Linked DNA regions of Schizosaccharomyces pombe. The gene in region 1 interacts genetically with each later gene. Each region holds a gene or a part of one and is shown in the gene's direction. Other genes may lie near its edges. The genes, in order: spf1, fin1, tim18 and mms19.

The links.
Region 2: mutations in spf1 (region 1) and fin1 impair growth when combined (synthetic growth defect), as found in Schizosaccharomyces pombe (2 studies listed by BioGRID, with this or other methods).
Region 3: mutations in spf1 (region 1) and tim18 together harm fitness less than expected from each alone (positive genetic interaction), as found in Schizosaccharomyces pombe (2 studies listed by BioGRID).
Region 4: mutations in spf1 (region 1) and mms19 together harm fitness more than expected from each alone (negative genetic interaction), as found in Schizosaccharomyces pombe (2 studies listed by BioGRID).

What each region holds. Positions count from the first base shown.
Region 1 is NC_003421.2:363,219-367,495, reverse strand, and holds spf1 (Set1C PHD finger subunit Spf1), read left to right. Parts: upstream 1-2,013; 5' UTR 2,014-2,017; coding exon 2,018-3,292; 3' UTR 3,293-3,736; downstream 3,737-4,277. Other genes in the region: vsl1 (SNARE protein Vam7), read left to right, coding at 507-542, 579-1,568; SPOM_SPCC594.04C (steroid oxidoreductase superfamily protein), read left to right, coding at 3,763-4,277. UniProt on the Schizosaccharomyces pombe protein: The Set1 complex specifically methylates 'Lys-4' of histone H3.
Region 2 is NC_003424.3:1,352,433-1,357,742, forward strand, and holds fin1 (NIMA-like serine/threonine protein kinase Fin1), read left to right. Parts: upstream 1-1,788; 5' UTR 1,789-1,927; coding exon 1,928-1,987; intron 1,988-2,255; coding exon 2,256-2,279; intron 2,280-2,325; coding exon 2,326-4,410; 3' UTR 4,411-4,752; downstream 4,753-5,310. Other genes in the region: nucleoporin Nup40, read right to left, coding at 1-804, 992-1,227. UniProt on the Schizosaccharomyces pombe protein: Promotes chromosome condensation and nuclear envelope dynamics during mitosis. Activity appears at metaphase-anaphase transition.
Region 3 is NC_003423.3:2,034,208-2,037,106, forward strand, and holds tim18 (TIM22 inner membrane protein import complex and succinate dehydrogenase (SDH) anchor subunit Tim18), read left to right. Parts: upstream 1-1,852; 5' UTR 1,853-1,892; coding exon 1,893-2,372; downstream 2,373-2,899. Other genes in the region: MPP complex beta subunit Qcr1, read right to left, coding at 1-636; SPOM_SPBC29A3.21 (uncharacterized protein), read left to right, coding at 2,885-2,899. UniProt on the Schizosaccharomyces pombe protein: Membrane-anchoring subunit of succinate dehydrogenase (SDH) that is involved in complex II of the mitochondrial electron transport chain and is responsible for transferring electrons from succinate to ubiquinone (coenzyme Q).
Region 4 is NC_003424.3:3,856,337-3,862,354, forward strand, and holds mms19 (TFIIH regulator Mms19 ), read left to right. Parts: upstream 1-1,881; 5' UTR 1,882-2,086; coding exon 2,087-2,555; exon of another isoform or gene 2,556-2,598; coding exon 2,599-2,741; exon of another isoform or gene 2,742-2,787; coding exon 2,788-2,891; exon of another isoform or gene 2,892-2,936; coding exon 2,937-5,228; exon of another isoform or gene 5,229-5,294; coding exon 5,295-5,343; 3' UTR 5,344-5,382; downstream 5,383-6,018. Other genes in the region: protein Sil1, read right to left, coding at 5,383-6,018. UniProt on the Schizosaccharomyces pombe protein: Key component of the cytosolic iron-sulfur protein assembly (CIA) machinery that mediates the incorporation of iron-sulfur cluster into apoproteins specifically involved in DNA metabolism and genomic integrity.

The sequences.
Region 1 (4,277 bases):
TGTGCTTTTAATACTTTAGGCAAGTCGCGCTTGCAACCAATCCATGTAGGAAAATATAGAAAATAAACAATTTCTGTTTATTACTAAGCTTCGTTAAGATTTTGCCGTTCTTCTGTTTAGGTATTGTAATTACTTGTAAGTTGCACCGTTCACGAGTGCCAAAAAAAATACTCAATAATCTGACTATAAAGTGTTTAAAGGTATAAGATAATATACTAACCTAATTCATTATTTTAATTTCTAAATCTATTGCAAACTGGTAAACTTTCTTTCAATACCTGCCAATTCGATAATCGTAAAGGCATCTCGCGCATCAAGGAAAACATGAGGTTTAAAGGATCTAAAGCATCATGAAACTGAAATTTATCTTTATTCAACTAATAGAACCTATACTATTTGAAAGCTCAAATTCTACATTATACAGTTTTATAACGATAGTGCAGTAAATCCGATACAGTAGTCTGTTGTTCATGAACTCATTGTTGATCAACCTGTTCATAGCAAGTATGGCGCTAAAAATTAAAATACCAGAAACGTCTCAAGTAAGCTTTATTCCTTTAATTTTTACTTACAACTAGTCTTCTGATGAATATTCACGATGGACGGTTTACCATATTGAAGTAGCATTTCCGAATGGTGGGAAACATGTTGTATTTCGTCGGTTCAATGAATTCGTTGCTTTGGATGCTCAAATTCGGCCAAATGACTACAACAGTAGACTTTGCAAACTCCCCTCTAAATCTTGGGTTTCTTCAACTGTGACAAATGAAAAGTTACGTGAATCTCGACGACTTGCTTTACAAGCTTACGTTCAATGCCTTTCAGAAACGCCATGGATAAAAATGCCTGTGGTTAAAAAATTTCTAAATATTAAAGATGAATCGGAAGATGAAACACAGGGTCAGTTTTTGGGTCCGACAGATTGGATTCAAGTATTTCAAGATTGTAAACGTAATTTACATATGTACCGAGTTGACTTAATGAGTGGAAAAAGCATTACGATAGGAGTTCAAACAAAGAATGTCTATGCAATAAAGTCGCTAATGGATAACCTTTCAGAATCGTTAGACAAATTAGAATTAGCAAATGCTCTTGGTCCAGGAGAAATCCTTCGACGAAAAGATATGTTAGAACAGCTTGGTTCTGAATTCTTGTCATTTAAACGGTTAGTTAAAAATGCAAACAGCCCAGTCGCTCCTCCTTCTGCCTCATCTCAATTAAACTCTTCTAATCCTAGTTCTCCCTTTCGCCCATTATCTGCATCTACTGACAAACAATCTAATACCTCTTTGAACAGAGTCCTTGGAAAAAACAGAATGCCAGAGACACAGACAACAAAAAAGCTTGATAATGTAGGACTGTACAACATGCAGAATCAAACTATGGAAGATCAAGATATGCAAGCAGAATCGTTATTGCCTATTATTCAAAGGCAGAAGGAGCTTTCGAAAATGATTAATCAAGAAGTTGTCGAGCAAAACTCCATGTTAGACGAGCTTTCTAATGAAGCATATGCAAACCAAAAAAAGCTACACAGAACACGAGCTGGCCTTCGCAAATTGGGTTAATATTTGGGTGTTTATGAGTATTTGATTTAATTTCACGAAATTTAATGGAATCTTCTTTTGCAGTTTTGTCTTGTTTTCTATCCAATTCTGCTACATTAGTGATTGTCTTGGATGAGATTATCTGGGCTAAAAATATTTATTATTTGGTGTATTTGCGTTCTTTCCTTTTTTTTTTTTTTTGTTTAATCTTCTTGAAGATACCGCAGTAACCTCTGTGAGTTATATAGGCATGGTTAGTTCGTCCGTCAAGGTTGAAATAATTGTCTCCTTTAATTAAGCTTGATATTAATATACGACTTGTTTAAATTTCAACTTGTTTTGACAGACCCCATTTCTTTTGTATTTTGGTTTGGCTTGTAGTTCCTTTTAATGCATTTAGTGTACTGTGCTTAAGCTCGCTTTCTTTAGATTTTACTTATTGACAGACTTAGACAACTGAAATTCCAATAATGGAATTAACGCAAGAGAATACTGAGGAAAATGAAAAAACTCATGTAGAATCAATTGTAAAATTTGAGGATTCGAATAGAGGCACCATTACTGATTTTCATATCGAGACAGCTAACAATGAGGAAGAGAAAGACGCCAACGTAATTCTCAATAAATCTGTTAAAATGGAGGTTGAAGAAGTCAACGGTCACGTTGATTCTTCCTCAACGGAAACAGACATAGAAATGCAAGTCATTCAACAGCCTACAATACCCAAAAAACCACCCGTATCAGCTCATAGAAGGGGTCCACGAAAACACCGAGGAAATGCGAATAGCCAACTCAATCTGTCTACAGCCGATCATCAAAGACCATTGTATTGTATATGCCAAAAGCCTGATGATGGATCATGGATGTTAGGATGTGATGGTTGCGAAGATTGGTTTCATGGCACTTGCGTTAATATACCTGAATCTTATAATGATTTAACTGTACAGTACTTTTGTCCTAAATGCACAGAAGAAGGAAAGGGTATAACTACTTGGAAAAGAAAATGCCGGTTACGAGAATGCTCGAATCCCACAAGACCTAATTCCAACTATTGTAGTGATAAACATGGAGTCGATTTTTTTCGAGAAAAAGTAAAGCTGAGTACGGTTGAACCTTCTGCTATAAAAAATCTTGTATTGTTTGCAAAAAAAAGGGAAGAATTTCAAAATTTGGGTACGGTGGGACCGACATTGCCAAGCCAAGTTCCTCCTGAAGTTGTGTACAATTTTGAAATTGAGGAGGCCAATAGGCTGAACGCAGAAATTGTGCAATTAAATAAAGAGAAAGAAGTAGCATCTAACAAAAAAATATTTCTTCAGTTGATCAAAGATTCTTCGCGGAGAGCGGTTCTTGCTTACAAAGAAAGAGAAGGTATTAAGAAAGATCTGTGTGGATTCGATTCTCGACTTTTATTCAATCAACAACAAATGAATGAATTGTGGGAAAAAGTTTCAAATGGAGCACCGCTATCTCTTGACATGAGTATAGATCCTTCTCCTGAGTCCACCTGCTTTACAGAGAAGCGAAGATGTGCAAAGCACACAAGCTGGCAGGTAATTTTTACCGAAGATTTTGAGTTGCAAGAAAGTAATATTTTACAAAAACTAAACATGAAGCAAACTGCCAAAGATGTAATGTTGGAGCATCAAAAACAGAGGTGCCTACCCGGGATACAATACGACGGTTATGCTCGATTTTGTCATGAACAGTTATCTCCCGAAAAAATGGCTAATTTATTAAAATAAACAGAAGGATGCATCTTTTGGTTTAATTTACAATTTTGAAGTTTGCTTTAATTTCTAGATCATTTCATGTAAATCACGAGGCATTGATTCGCAAATGTTAATGAAAGAAAAGTTTATATTGCTTGGCATTTGTCTCTTAATTTTGGCTTTAAATTTATTGACTCCCTGTTTCGCAAAATAATGTTGACAGATGGTAATTTGGTTTTTCCTTCTAAAAAGTCACTTTTTAACATAAGGACATACATTCTACACCCTCTCTTTTTATCAACTCATGTCTTAATGGCCTTGAGGTTTTCTCTCTCTTTTGTTTTGAAATTTATTTTATTTTATTTTTTGGAAAACGCAGGCTCCTTGGATTTCACTAATCCTTCTTATTCCAGAAGCTAACGTCACAATGAGACAGAGGATTTCGTGGAGCTATAGAAAGCCAACTTTCTGACATTCCCATTGTTCTTTTTCAAACGAGCACTATGACTTTGGCATCCACCATGCCAATTATTTATTCGGCATCTGATGCCGCAAAATGGAAAGTTGCAGTATCTCCTTACCTGTATCAACTGAGCAATTTGAAGTTACTGTTTACTGGAAAGTTGAATTTTGCAGATTTTTATTATAATACGAATCCATTTGTTGTAGGACTACTTCTCTCATTTATTTTGGGAAATGTGCTTTGGGGAGTGTCTGTTTGGACGAAAAATACATCGCAAGTGGATCGGCTATGGCCAATTCTGCCAACGGCTTTTTCCTTGCATTTTCTGTTTTATGGTTTGGGATACAACATTGCTTCGCGAAGATTAATGATTATGGCATTTTTGCAGACTCTATGGTCCGCGCGTCTTACTTACAATTATTACCGTAAAGGAGGTTATAATCGAGGAGCAGAGGACTATCGTTGGGTGAGAGTTCGCCAAATCATGCCTAAATGGATATATCCATTATTCCACTATTTTTACATTCATATCTTTCAAGTGCTCCACCTATATTT
Region 2 (5,310 bases), on another chromosome or scaffold:
GAAGCAGTTTTAGATTTTTCTTCCTCATCTATTGGCTCAGTTGAACCAAAACCAAATAAATAATGAAATAACCAATTACGAGGTTGATGTTTCTGAGAAGATTTAAAAATATCATTTTTGTGTTGAACAATGACTTTTTTACCAAGACCAGATTGGGATTGGAAATGGGCATCAGCATGCACGGGAATAGACATTGAGGTTTCGGAGGAAGAGGCATCCGTCATTTCCAAGTCTTTATTGCTGTTTCTTAACGTTTTCGGAACATGCTCCTTCGCTTCTGCGGGGCTGTATATACATCCAACCATAAAAGAGTCATTTATCAACATTCCGTTAGACAAAACTGCTTTGGCAGCAGAAGAAGGCTCAGCATATGTTAATTGTAGCCAGTTACCAGATATGGGACCCTTGGAGGGAGTGAATCCGGCACTTGAAGCAGTTAATGAATTCTCGCTAATAATAGTTCCAAAACGAGAAAATTCAGCTATTACTTGATTTGTCAATTCTGGTGGGAAACCGAAAACGATAACGGAGGTATTTGAATCTTGAGGAGCGCCAGACATGGTAAAAGAAGGGTCGTATACCTTTTCAGAGACAGGAGAAAAAGGGGAAGAACTTTGTCCAACATTGAGAGCATTAATTTGCCTAGAGGAAGAAAAGTCATAAATGGATTGAGTAGGAGGAGCATCTTCAATTAAAGATCCGGTACCTAAACGATTTGTATGCAAAAACGGTTTCGGTGTACCAAAGCTGGGTCCGCCGAATTTTGAAGAAGGGGGACTCGAGAGAGATAAACGGAAGGAAGAGCTATTTAGAGAAAATTAGTAAAGGTTCTAAGAGTTTATGTCTAATATTTAAAAATTCATAGGGATTAGGCTGAAGCTCTAACAAATTTGGATATAGATAGATATTAGGTAAAAAAGCAATTATACTAAACAATTTTTTAATCCTCCGTCTTCAAATGTCCCTTAAACTCTTCAAAGAAATTACTTACGATGACTCATATGGTTCTGCTAAAGGCGAGCTAACCTCTGGGGCAAATCGACGCTGCTGACTTGATCCAAAGTGTGAAAGATGACTGGGAACAAATTTTTTTTCTTGTGGAATGTTAGAAACAGATGTTCGAAATCCACGATATTCTTTTTGAGGAGAGGGCGAACGTAAATCATCGACAGAAAGTGGCTTTAAGGTTGATCGATTCGTGATAGAACCACTTCCCCCAAAAGACATGTTTCCGGCAATATTACTAGAGTCTTGTGATAGACTGTTGTGTAACATATGTTTTGCAACGTATATAAATTAGCGGTAAGTTCATTTGAAGGAGATGGCTTGCATGGAATGAATCATGAAGCCTAGCGTAGATCACTAAAACCAATTAACGCAAAATAACAGTTTATTGTTAATGCTATTGATTTTTATAAAACATGCAGATAAATCTTTTGAAAGCCTCAAACTAATATTAATACGTTTAGCTATTCATTTTTTTAAAACTTGATTTAAAGGACTCTGTTAAATTCCAAGCTCATTTACAACAAACCTTATACAATCATGTCATAAAAGGCATTATAGATGATAAAAATTCTCCACAACTTTTTCTCATTGCTTATTGAATAGCGTATCTTTTTCTTACAGAAATTAAAATGCGACTGGATATATATTATAATCGTAGCAATAAGCACCTGAAGTAACAGTGTTACTCCTAACCATGGCAACATTGTTTACACTTGATGATTTAACGAGACACTGCAGAAGAACCAAACATAAACATCTTGGCTTGAAATTCATATACTTAGCACTCAATCACTCCAAGCAGTATTTTTTATATTATTAATTGATAGAAGAATTTTTCTTTTTCTTTAAAGGTCCTACCGAGAAATTTAGTTTTATTTTAAGCTTACCTGAATCTCATGGGCTACTTCTGTTCTGAAGTATGGAAAAATACAAGATTCTTGAGTGTATTGGACATGGGAGTTTTGGAAGGATTTATAAAGTAAGTTTTAATCTTATTTTCACTGAAATTGGTTATTGGATAGCAAAATTCTTTCTTGTTTTCAGTTTATTTGCGAGCAACTACTTGTGGTTGGCAAATGAATCTATAGCATTGAATCAATTGTTTTCTTAAGAAACAGGGAAACTATATTGATTTAAATGCTTTTCGCTATTGTTTGTACTCTATTCAAAACAGTTTTTCAAATTGAAACTTTGATCGATATTTTTTTTTGCAACTCCTTTTTTATGCATTATGCTAACTATTATAGGTTCAACGCTTAAAGGATGGTGCTGTAAGTTTGAAAGCAATTTATTTTTATAGTTATTAATACTTTTTAGCTTTTGGCTCAGAAGGAAATACACTTTGGTAACATTACTCGGCAGGAAAAGCAGTACATCGCAGATGAAGTGAATATTCTTCGTAATCTTAAGCATCCAAATATTGTTCAATACTGCGGAGAAGAATTGAATCGTTCTGCGCAGGTAATAAACCTTTATATGGAATATTGTGGTCATGGTGATTTAGCCAATCTTATTCAACGTTATAAAGAAGAGAAAAAGAGATTTACCGAGCAAGAGGTTCTCAAATTTTTTACGCAATTACTACTTGCTCTGTATCGCTGCCATTATGGAGAAAATGCGCCTGCTTGTGACTCACAGTGGCCAAGAGAAATTTTTCATCCTAAACAATCTGTATTGCATCGAGATATCAAACCTGCGAATATATTTCTTGATGAAAATAATTCAGTTAAGTTAGGAGACTTTGGTTTATCCAAATTGCTGGACAATACGCGTGTCTTCACACAGAGTTACGTGGGAACTCCATACTATATGTCTCCTGAAATAATTCGGAGCAGCCCTTACAGTGCGAAGTCTGATGTTTGGGCTCTTGGCTGTGTTATTTTTGAGATCTGCATGCTTACGCATCCCTTTGAAGGAAGGTCGTATTTGGAATTGCAACGTAATATTTGCCAGGGTAATCTCTCCTGTTGGGATCATCATTACAGCGACGATGTTTTCCTTCTAATCAGGCATTGCTTAGAAGTTAATTCAGACCTCAGACCTACTACTTACCAGCTACTTCGCTCTCCTATTTTATCCGATATTCGTAGTAAATTGGAATCCGAGAGAGTAGTCTTGGAACAAAGCGATTTGCTTCATAAAAAACATCAGATGCTTATTCAATTGGAAAATGATCTCCAATTTCGCGAGCAAAGGCTTTCTGCTCGGGAAAGTGAACTCGAAAACGTTATAGCTTCTCGCTTAGCCCAACGTGAAGAGATATTGCGACGTGAGTTGGAAAAGCAACTGCGTGACATGGATGCTCGTTATCAAAGACACATGCAAACCGTAGTAAACTCTATGCAGAAAATGCGTGTTACAAGTCCTGTGGATCATAATGAACAACCTGAAAGCAGTACCGCTGAGATGTTTGTAGATTGTACAATTGAAGCATCACAATCCCCCCTACTTCATATTCCTAAGTTAGGAATTAGCAAGCCCTTGCAAACGTTATCGTGTCCGGGTTTCACTCTAACTACACAACAACCGATATTGAAAAGACCTACTCTCCGTAAAGAATTATCAAGCAGAGCCTTACATACGACTGCAACATTAATGAAATACAGAGCTAATGCGTCATCTCTAAGGACTACACCTATTGATAAAGATGGCCAAATTACATCGTTACAGCAAAAAAACGGCACGTCGAATCAAGTGGCGGATTGCATGAACAAGTTGCTGCACACATCTTTGGACGGAAAGAAGCTAAGCCCTTCTGAATTGTGTAATAAATTTTCAGACGGTGAAGGTTTACCAAATCGAAAAGTTAGCAAACTTAGCGTAGAGAGCGATGAAACGGCAGTGAGTGCTTCAAGTGGTGAATCCGTCCCGACTGATTCAACGTTGACTGATACGAAGTCAAAGTCTGTTTTTGTCCACCCACCTTCTCCGCAGAGTCTTTATGTGGAGAAACTCGAAAAGTTGAATATTCGTTCGGACGAAGTGTCGAAACCTTCGAAAGCTTCAAAAACCTTACATGGCTATGCTTTACCATCACTAGCGTCACCTTATGATGTTCATGCTGAAGAGAAGATAGCAAGAGAAAATGAAATGGATGGCAATTTTAAGACGATGAAGATCAATCAACACCCCGACGAGTATGTGTTACGGACTCCGAAAAAGATACAACTGTTGGAAGGACAAAAGCGGTCGCCTGTAAAACAGCTGGGAAGACTTGGTTACAACAAGCTTCGACGATCAGCGATGGACAATGCAGGATTGGAACTACGAAAGGCGGCATCTACTTCGAACTATACTAGCTTACAGTCTCGAACACTACCCGGGTCTTGGAGAGATGATGAAGAAGAAATTCCAAGACCCTTTCTACGAAAAATGCTTGACGCCCGAATGATGAGGGCTTAAGTAAAGTTCCCTAAGGTGCATTTAATTGTACGAGAATTATATTAGCACAAATGCGTACTAAAAAAAAAATACAGCAAAAAATAAAGGCCCAAATGTAAATGAAATTATTGAAATGCGTACCGTGTTGAACTTCCCCTAATTATAAGGATTGGTTTTCTATTTATTCAAAGAAATGAAACACTGCTGGTCAGCGTTTATCACGAAGTTTATTACTAATAAAGGAATACAAACACGATATTTGCATCTACAAGTTCTCGAATATGAGATGCTAGTAAATTGAGCCTTTTAACAGTACACATTTAGATGATTAGGAAATTTTGAATAACAATATTTTTCCCCAAATTCGAATGAGCCGTATTGTAAATGGAATTTAATTTTATAATTTTTGAAATAATATTACACAGAAACAAAAATTCATGGATGTAGTAATTAGAGAGAACCAAAGAATTAGCTAAAACTACGAAACGCCAGCCTTGACAAGAGAGACTGTTTTTTTTTTGGTGTAAGGATAAGTTGCGTAGATAATAAATGGAGATATACGTAAATTCGTATATGAGTAGATATCTGGTATCTGGAGAGATGACTTATCAAAAAGAAGCCGATTATGGAAGCGGCATCAAAAATAGTCTAGAAAGAAAACAAAGTGGAAGTAATAGAAGTAAAAAAAATTTTTACAATTTCGGGTGGCAGAAAAAAGGATATTAATGGTATACGAAGTGACACAAATAGGATTCCAAATGAGGGATGAATCAATTAACCACTTGACGGATTGATAATAGCAATGATGAAAATAGCAGAATATAGTACAAACTAGTAATTGACAAACACATATAAATACTTAGTTGTAATGTAGAAGTATGAAAGTTAGTCATTCATTGTTATTTCATTTTATTTACATAC
Region 3 (2,899 bases), on another chromosome or scaffold:
TATCGAACCGGCAGAAGAGATAATCATTCTATCACTACGGTAGTTGTCCTTAATATACTGGAGAAGGTCCTCACGGGTAAGAGATTCGATGTTTTCCTTAGGACCCAAAATTGTACGTCCAAGAGGATGACCCTGATAAGCGGTAGCATGTAAATGATCAAAGACTACTTCATCGGCCATTTTGTCAACCTCTTCTTGCTCTCTTAAGATGACTTGGCGTTCACGCTCAACCGCCGAGGCAGAAATGCTTGAATTTGTCAGGATATCGGCCAAAACGGCAACTGCATTAGGTACAGCGTTTTTGAACGCATGTGCATAATAAACGGTTTGTTCACGAGAGGTGTATGCGTTCAAATGTGCACCAGTATTTTCAAATTCCAATTCCAATGCTTTTTGGGAGCGATTTTTCGTTCCTTTGAACGCCAAATGTTCCAAAAAGTGAGCAGCGCCATTATTTTTTGCCGTCTCAGCTCTTGAGCCAGCATCAACGCCCACAAGGACGGTCGCTGTTTGGGCATACGGATGATGTTCCGTAGCAACTGTAAGCCCATTTTTTAAAGTAGTGGTTTCTGTTTTTGGTAAAGCAGTAGTCGCAAAACGACGTACTAGCTTTGGCAAATTCTGAAGCCTCAGCATAGTAATATCAATTCAAGCTCCTTTGGTTGGGTGGGATTCTGTGGATGGTAAAGGGTAAGTAGGTAGCAAGAAGGTATTCCGTAGAGGTGTAGCGTAATACGTGTTATCGAGGTCCCAAGTTCGAATTTCGGCAAATGACCAATTGATCCCATTTAATAAAAAAAGAAAACTAGCAATCCTTGAATCCCTTACTAGAATTTCCATGTAGAGAAAAATAAGAAGTTGACCATTCAAACAGAAACTTTCGGATTGCCTAGTCTTTGCCCTGTGCGCAATTTGCTATAAAGGAAGGAAACGAATGACCGTACAATCCAGTTCATGATATAATATATCTCTACTTAACATGGAGAATCTCATTGGTAAAAAACTATGTAGGGGATATATTGTTTCATCGGTATATTGAAAAGAATCTATATGACATTGAATCAGACAGGGTAAGACACTTCATCAGGTTAAGTTCGTATTCATCTACATTAAAAGGTTATTTATACTTAACGAAATTCTCTTTTCCATGATTTCCATTACAATATTTCGGTTAATACATTTTTAAAAAAATAACAGTCCAACTATAGAATTTTGACTAGCACCGAATCAAGCATTGTTATACATCGACTATTGAGTAGCTTGATGGTTTCTTTTTATGAGAATAGTTTTTTATATAAATGATATTAATTTAAATAAAATTTTCATCCTCTTAAAACCGTTTCTCTAACCTTTTTTTAAGCCAATGCAGCACCTTTATATTAGCATAATTGCTACAAGTAAATTTCTATAGCTTTATCTATATTATATTATTAAGTAAAAAGATTTACAGTAGATTATTGTTTTTTCACAATGTAGTGCTTTCCGTAAAATTTTTTTTGAAACTGCAGTAACTTTTGGTACTGTGTAATATTATAATAGATATTCAAACTCACCACAAAACCCATGTAATATTATATGTAGAAGGTAATTCGTTTTCAGCAGTGAATAATATTATTATAAAAAGTAATAACCAGGTTTTGAAACGACCTTAAAGACCGGAGATTCTTCTGAATAAACTTATTAATCTATTATATCTATTTAAATTTCTAGTCTTTACTCTATGTTATACAATTTTTCGTTTATGAGTAGATAGATTTAGGTTCTCATCGCCTATTTCCGGCCACTCCAAGCTCAACACATCGAGCTGTTGAATGGCCAATAATGTGGACACAAGATCCGCCAATACGAACTCACCTACTACCACCACCAGCTTTTCTTGGTTTACAAACAATATGTTACAAACACGTTTAGGACTTGGAGCACTTCGTCAAGGACGTCTTCTTTTTGCAGTTAAATCTTTTAGCACAACCAGTGTTGCGAAAATTTTCCCTCCTCCCCCTCAGACCATTAAGGGAACTGTTAATGATGCTGCTGTTTTCCCTCACCACAGTAAGCTCCACGGAAGCTATCATTGGGACTTTGAAAGAATTATTGCTATTGCCATGGTTCCTCAAGTCATGATCCCTTTGTTCACCGGAACTTCTCATCCCTTAATGGACGCTGCATTGGCTTGCACCTTGATTACGCATGCCCACTTGGGGTTTGAATCTTGTGTGATTGACTACTTCCCTGCAAGAAGATTTAAGAAGTTATCTCCTTTGATGCACTGGATCTTACGTGGATGTACTGTTCTTACACTTATTGGCGTCTATGAGTTCAACACGAATGATATTGGCCTTACGGAGGGTATTAAAAAGCTTTGGAAATCTTAAGCTTCTTTCCATGCAAACCCATATAACCCCACTTATTTTTTCATAATGATTATTCCTTTCCTTTTTCTTTTTTATTCTCCTTAATCCGTCATCTAGTAAGTTTTGGGCTTGAAACTTACCAGTTCAAACCCCAAAACTGCCAATTGATATTCTGCAGTTGATCTTTGCTCTTTTCTTGATTTCTGGCTTGATTGATCCTCTCAATTTATCTGTGTAAATCTGTTTAGCGCTTGCACAGTATGTTTATGTTTACCTTCAACGATAATTTTTCTAGTGGGAGTGGTTAGAAGACTATTCAAGTTTGTGGCAGCTCTTGTTAAGGTCCTTATGTCGACTTGAATTAATAATTCTTCCAAGACAAAATCCATTGAATTATTTTATTGGGTGTCCCATTTATTATTTATCGTTTAGAATGGGTCAACAATTTACCCATGTACGCTTCGTTCCCTTATTCTTTGATAAGGTATTAGAAGACATGCTCTAACGTTTACCGTTTTAATCTCATTTATCGAATGTTGCGTTACAAT
Region 4 (6,018 bases), on another chromosome or scaffold:
GAGGAGCATAATCAAATAATCTGGATAAGGCACCGTGAAAGTATTCTAGAATAGCCATCGGGGACAGCGAATCTGGAGTGGGTAATTCAAACGCATCAGTAACGACATTGGAGGGAGCACTTCCCTCTAGTCGAGCTGCTTCACGTTCTACACTAGCATTGATAGTCTGAACATCTACCTCAGGCGGTTCATAATCCTCGTCCTCGTCTTCATCAACTTGTTGATCAAGACCAAGGGATTCAGGCTCAGAGAGAGAGCGCACTCTCTCTCTCAACATATTAATTTGCTGATGAAAGTAGTTTTTGTCTATCTTAAGAAGAGAAGTAAGTACAATTTCAGTAGCCACTTCAACCGGAATTGAAGTTACATCAAAATTTGCAAGAGGATTTATAGCAGTTTGTGAAGCAAATATGCTGATTAAGGGATTATTTTGCAAACCATCGTGAGAGCTAAGTTGGGGTTGCATTCTTTCTACAAGACTTTGTACAGCAGAAGACTTAACACGCTTAGAGGCAGCACTAATATTTCCCTCATATTGCCGTTTCTTCAAACTTTCATCGACTTTGGTATGATAAATTTGTCCGGAAAGATAAGCGTGAATTTTTTCGACGGAAGAAGAAGATGCACCTGTACTCTTAGCTAAATGAAGTAAAATAAGTTTTAGATTTTTTTCAATACACCGTATAGCTAACTTGCTTTCGTTCGACAGCTCAATTTCATCTTTTGGATTCGGAAGATGAAATTCTAACAAGCTTCCTATGATTTTTGGTGCTAGTTCCTTCCGTCGCTTCACCAAAACCGGTAAGATATTCAAAACGCTAGTAATGTAAAGGACATTCAAAGAATCCGAGAAAAGGATGGAAAATATTTTTTCAATTAAGTCATTTGCTTCTATTCTGAGGATATTTGAATTGATAAAAGGATGATGTGTGGGAACCTTAGAAAGAGACACGTCCGATTTAGTTACAAGACGGGGATCTCGAATCCCAGGCACTTGCGTTAAAATTACACAAGAAATAAATTTAATACAAGAAATTAAAAGAGGCTTGTTCCCTTTGTCAAAGTCATTAATGATTTCGTTTTTTAGCTTCGTTAAAGTGTCCCAGGTAGATGAATCGTTAGGTGAAGTACAACAGTGCAGAAATACTAGTGGGTAGATTGTGCAAGAACAAGATATAACGTCTTTTTTAACTTCTTCATTATCTACTGCGTACAGAGAAACAATTGTATCTAGACAAGTTACAGCTAAATCCAATTTCTGCTCAAATTTAACATTTTTGCTCGAAAATCCAAACCAGAGGAAATTTGCCATCCATTTTTTATACCTTATATCAGAATAGTTTGCCACAGAAAGAATGTTTCTCACGATTTCTGGAAAAAGGCTTTGATCAGTTTTAACAATATCTCGAGCCTGGTTTAAACGAGTAAGATGTTCGTCTGTCTCCGAAACTTCCATACCAGGACTAACAGAGAATTTAAGATGATAATTATATTAAATACTTATATGCTTATTGATCAATTTCTCAAGTAAATGTTAAAACTTTGCATCCTCTTTTTACTTTGCTGTCGGTTCAAATTTTGGTAAGAGAGGGAATACATAGCGCAGTGGTTTAAGGATCGTTAATATGTAGTGACTATATATAACGATGGAATAAAGGTTTTTGTGTATGATTGTAAAATCTTGAAGTAGAGATTTGCTAAAAAGAAACAAATTTTTAAAAAAAGAAAATAATATCCGATCTTTCTTCTAATTTCTTTAATTCATGGATTTAAGCAATTTAATTTACACAAATTCTTATCAGATTATCTAAATACTTTAATTAGTTTAACTTCGCTTCGGTAAAGAAAGCATACATAGCAAATGACATTTTGCAATTTGCCATTGTTAACCACATTTTCTGAGAGACGTTTCAACGATCTACTGAGGAAGAGTGCCGTCTACCTACTAGCTAGAAGAAAGTCAGCTTCGAAAAAGAGGACAAGGTTTCTAATCTCTGCTTCTCAATTTTTGAAATTCTGTTTTTTCTTATAGTGTTTATTGTATAGAAAATTGTTAGCATAATAGTACATATTAAATTTGAGGAAGATGAGCTCGAATTTAGTGGCTTTATATTTATTTTCTATTGATAGAAGTCAGGATGAGGCAAACGACGTTGTAGATCGAATTGTCGAAGAAATTGTCACTGACAGAATGGGGATTGTCGATTTGGTTACTTCAATTGGAGAGTATTTAACTGACAACAATATCTCTGTTAGAGCAAAAGCAGTTTTATTACTGTCACAAACTTTAGGTGAGCTTCCTAAAGATAGACTTCCTGCGAAACATGTATCTGTACTTCTTCAGTTTTACTTGAGTCGTTTGGATGATGAAGTTACAATGAAGGAGAATGCGTTAGGTATTGGAGCTCTTCTAAACATGCAAAACTTCCCTGCTCAAAAGATTGTGGATGTTTGTAAGGCTCTCTTCAGTTCCACTGACATGCCAAAATATGCTCAAGCAACTCGTTTAAACATTTTAAAAGTATTTGAAACCATTATAGATAATTATCTTTTCTGTAAGGATCTTTTTGGAGAGTCATCAATTAACTTAGTTCTCAGTCATCTCTTCACAAACTCGCGATGCTTTCTTCTCTGGAATTTGTTCAACTTTTGCTGGTGAGAAAGACCCTCGTAATCTTATGCTGGTCTTTTCTATGCTTAAAAAAATACTTTCTACATTCCCCATTGACGGATTTGAACAGGTATGGATCTCATTGTTAATCGCCTAATGAAATTACTTACATGTAGCAATTCTTTGATATCACTTATTGTTATTTCCCGATCACTTTCCGTGCTCCGCCTGATGCCACCAATTTGGCTATTACTAGCGACGATCTTAAAATAGCTCTCCGGTAAGGCATCATGACATGTGAACTATTGCTAACCGTCCTTTGTAGAGAAACCTTGGTTGCTAACGACGCGTTTTCAAAATTACTTCTTCCTGCTTTATTTGAAAGGCTGAAGGCTTCAACTGTTCGCATAAAAATCGATGCATTAAACATTTATATAGAAGCTTGCAAAACTTGGCGCGTGGGTGCTTATTTATGGTCTGCTAAAGACTTTTGGGAATCTATTAAGCAAGAAATACTAAATTCGACAGATGCTGAACTTCAAAATTTGGCGCTTGGTGCACTCAATACTTTAGCTAGTAAATTTTATAAAGAGGAAGGGTTTTCATCTTCGTTCACAGAGTTTGTGGATATGATTTTGATCCAATTATCACAGCGTTTACTCGAAGATGTTAATGTTAAATCTTGCGGATCTTGTGCAGCTGTATTTGCTTCCTTGGCTTCTATCTCTGTGGAAACATTCAATTATTGTTCATGCAATTTTTTACCCAGTGTTCTCGATCTACCAATGGTAAATGAACCATTGGAGAAACAAAAAGGGATGCTAGTTTTTTTGGAATACGTCTATAAATGTTTGGTACTTTTATACGGAAAGTGGAGAAGCAAAAACCAGGCTGATATTGACAACCCGCTACTTGTTTACAAAGACAAGCAACTTAGTTTTGTATCAGGCTCCTTGATGGGAACAGCCAAAGATGAAACTGAAATACGCATGTTGGCTTTAAAGGTTATTTTTTTAATGGCTTCGATCAAGAACTTCCTAACAGAGAGTGAATTAACCATGGTACTTCAATTTTTGGATGACATAGCATTTGACTTTTCCGATCCTATTAAGAAAAAGGCAACAGAATGTTTGAAGGATTTAGGGTTACTAAAGCCCGACTTTTTACTTTTGACTTCATTTCCTTTCGCATTTTCAAAATTAACTGATGATGTTACTGCTAAGTCATCTTCTGAAGAAACTTTTAAGCAATATTTATCGGTACTAGTCTCAATATCTGAAGAAAGGAGTTTGTTTAAGGCCCTTGTCATCAGACTTGTTGAGATGTTGAAAGATCAATTTAAATCCAAGGAAATGAGTGTTGATCTTGTCGAATCAATTGTTCAAAGTTTATCCGTTGCCTTTAAGGAAAGAAATGATCGAAATGAACAAGAGATTCCATTCTTTTTTGAAGAACTACTGAAGCAACTTTTTACCCTTTGTTTCGCTAATTGCGAGTCAATGAATGTGAGATGCCTTATTTATGTATCACAGACAATAAATGAGATAGTGAGAGTAAACCATTTTGAATTTCAAGAAAAGTTTGTTGGTCAATTATGGAAATTATATATGGAGAATTCCAATTCCGACTTAATTGAAACTGAAGGTTGTGAAAAAGCTGCAGAAAGATTTACGCTTGCAGCATCTTTAAGTGATCAGAAATTTTTAAATTTAGTGGTATTATTACAGGGTGGTCTTAATGGATTGAGTAAAAAATTACATTTTATCGAAAAGTTGAATATTGAGTTGTTGAATTTACTCATAAATGTTGTTTTTGTTACGGAAAGTCCTGGCGTTAAAATTAGCGCTTTACGTCTCATATCCTCGCTTATTAACAAATGTGAAAAAGACGAAGATATATCAAGTTTTATATCTTCGAAGGGAGTCACGTCTTTGTGGGATAAAGTTTATACTGGAACTCCAAAGGAATCTGAAGCTGCACTCGATGTGCTGGCGTGGGTTGACAAAGCTTTGGTCTCTAGAAAGCATAGCGAGGGCATTCCTTTGGCTTTTAAATTATTGGATACTTTGAATTTACAAAATGTCGGAGATTCTTCGGTCAAGGCACTTTCAATAATTATCAAAGACGATCCTGCGTTGTCCAAGGAGAATTCATATGTCGAAAAGCTGTTATACAAACAACGTTTTTACGCTAGTGTTAGTCCTAAGATTTTAGAACACATTTCAACTGCTACTGGAGGAGAAAAGTCTTTGTATTTAATGCTTCTTTCTAATGTGATAGGAAATGTGCCAAAAGAAATTGTAATTCCAGATATGCCATCTATCCTTCCACTTCTACTTCAATGTCTTTCACTGTCTGATATTAGTGTTAAACTTTCGACGTTGAACGTTATACATACTTCGGTTAAAGAATTGACTTCATTATTGACGGAATATCTTGATACTTTAATTCCTTCGCTTTTGGCAATCCCTAAGGATATGAATAATCCAACTGTTGTTCGTCTTTTAGCCCTTAAGTGTCTTGGAAGTCTGCCAGAGTTTACTCCTACCACGAATTTACAACTATTTAGAGATAAAGTAATTCGTGGACTCATACCATGCTTGGATGATCCTAAAAGGTAAGAACCATTCATTTTTAGTGAAAAGAATAACTGTTAACTACAAAATGCTAATGAATAATATAGGGTTGTAAGGACTGAAGCAAGTCGAACTCGTCATAAGTGGTATATATAAAGAGAGATTTTGATAAGTCATTTTTGAAAAATAAAAACGTTAAATATTGTATTTTTTAGGCCAAGGAAGAGATAAAGCTTCTTTTATAATTAAATTAAATTCAGTAGCAAGATCTGGATCTTGATAAATTAATTTATTTTTGTACGCCAAATTTTTATCGTTTAACCATTCATAAAAGTTAACTTCGGGACAACTCTCACTAACACTTTGAATTGTTGATACGGTGTTAAGTAGAACCTCGAGCGTTGAAATTGAGCGTAAATGCCAATTATTCATCAAGTACTTTTGAAAGATGCTACACCAAGTCGAAAATACCCACTCTATTGGGATAACTTTAGAAGCTTTGCTAAAATTGACATTTTCCAACGAACGAGCAATATTTTCAAAGATGATGGACAACCTACTTAGCAGTTTCTCCTGAAAAGCAGAAGGAATATCAATATGGCTGTTTCTCGACCAAAAATCATACAACTGAAGAAGAATAGCCGATCCTAAATCTTTACTAATGAAAGCCTCAGATAAAGGAAAAGATTGGACAGATTTACTTAATAGGAAAAGTTTCTTCAGTAATGTAACTGGGTGGTTTTCCTGCCGTAAAGTGTTCACAATTTTTGGCATAATATTCATTTCTAAAGCCTTTTTCTGAGCTATGAAATTATTGCTAAGCGCTGATGC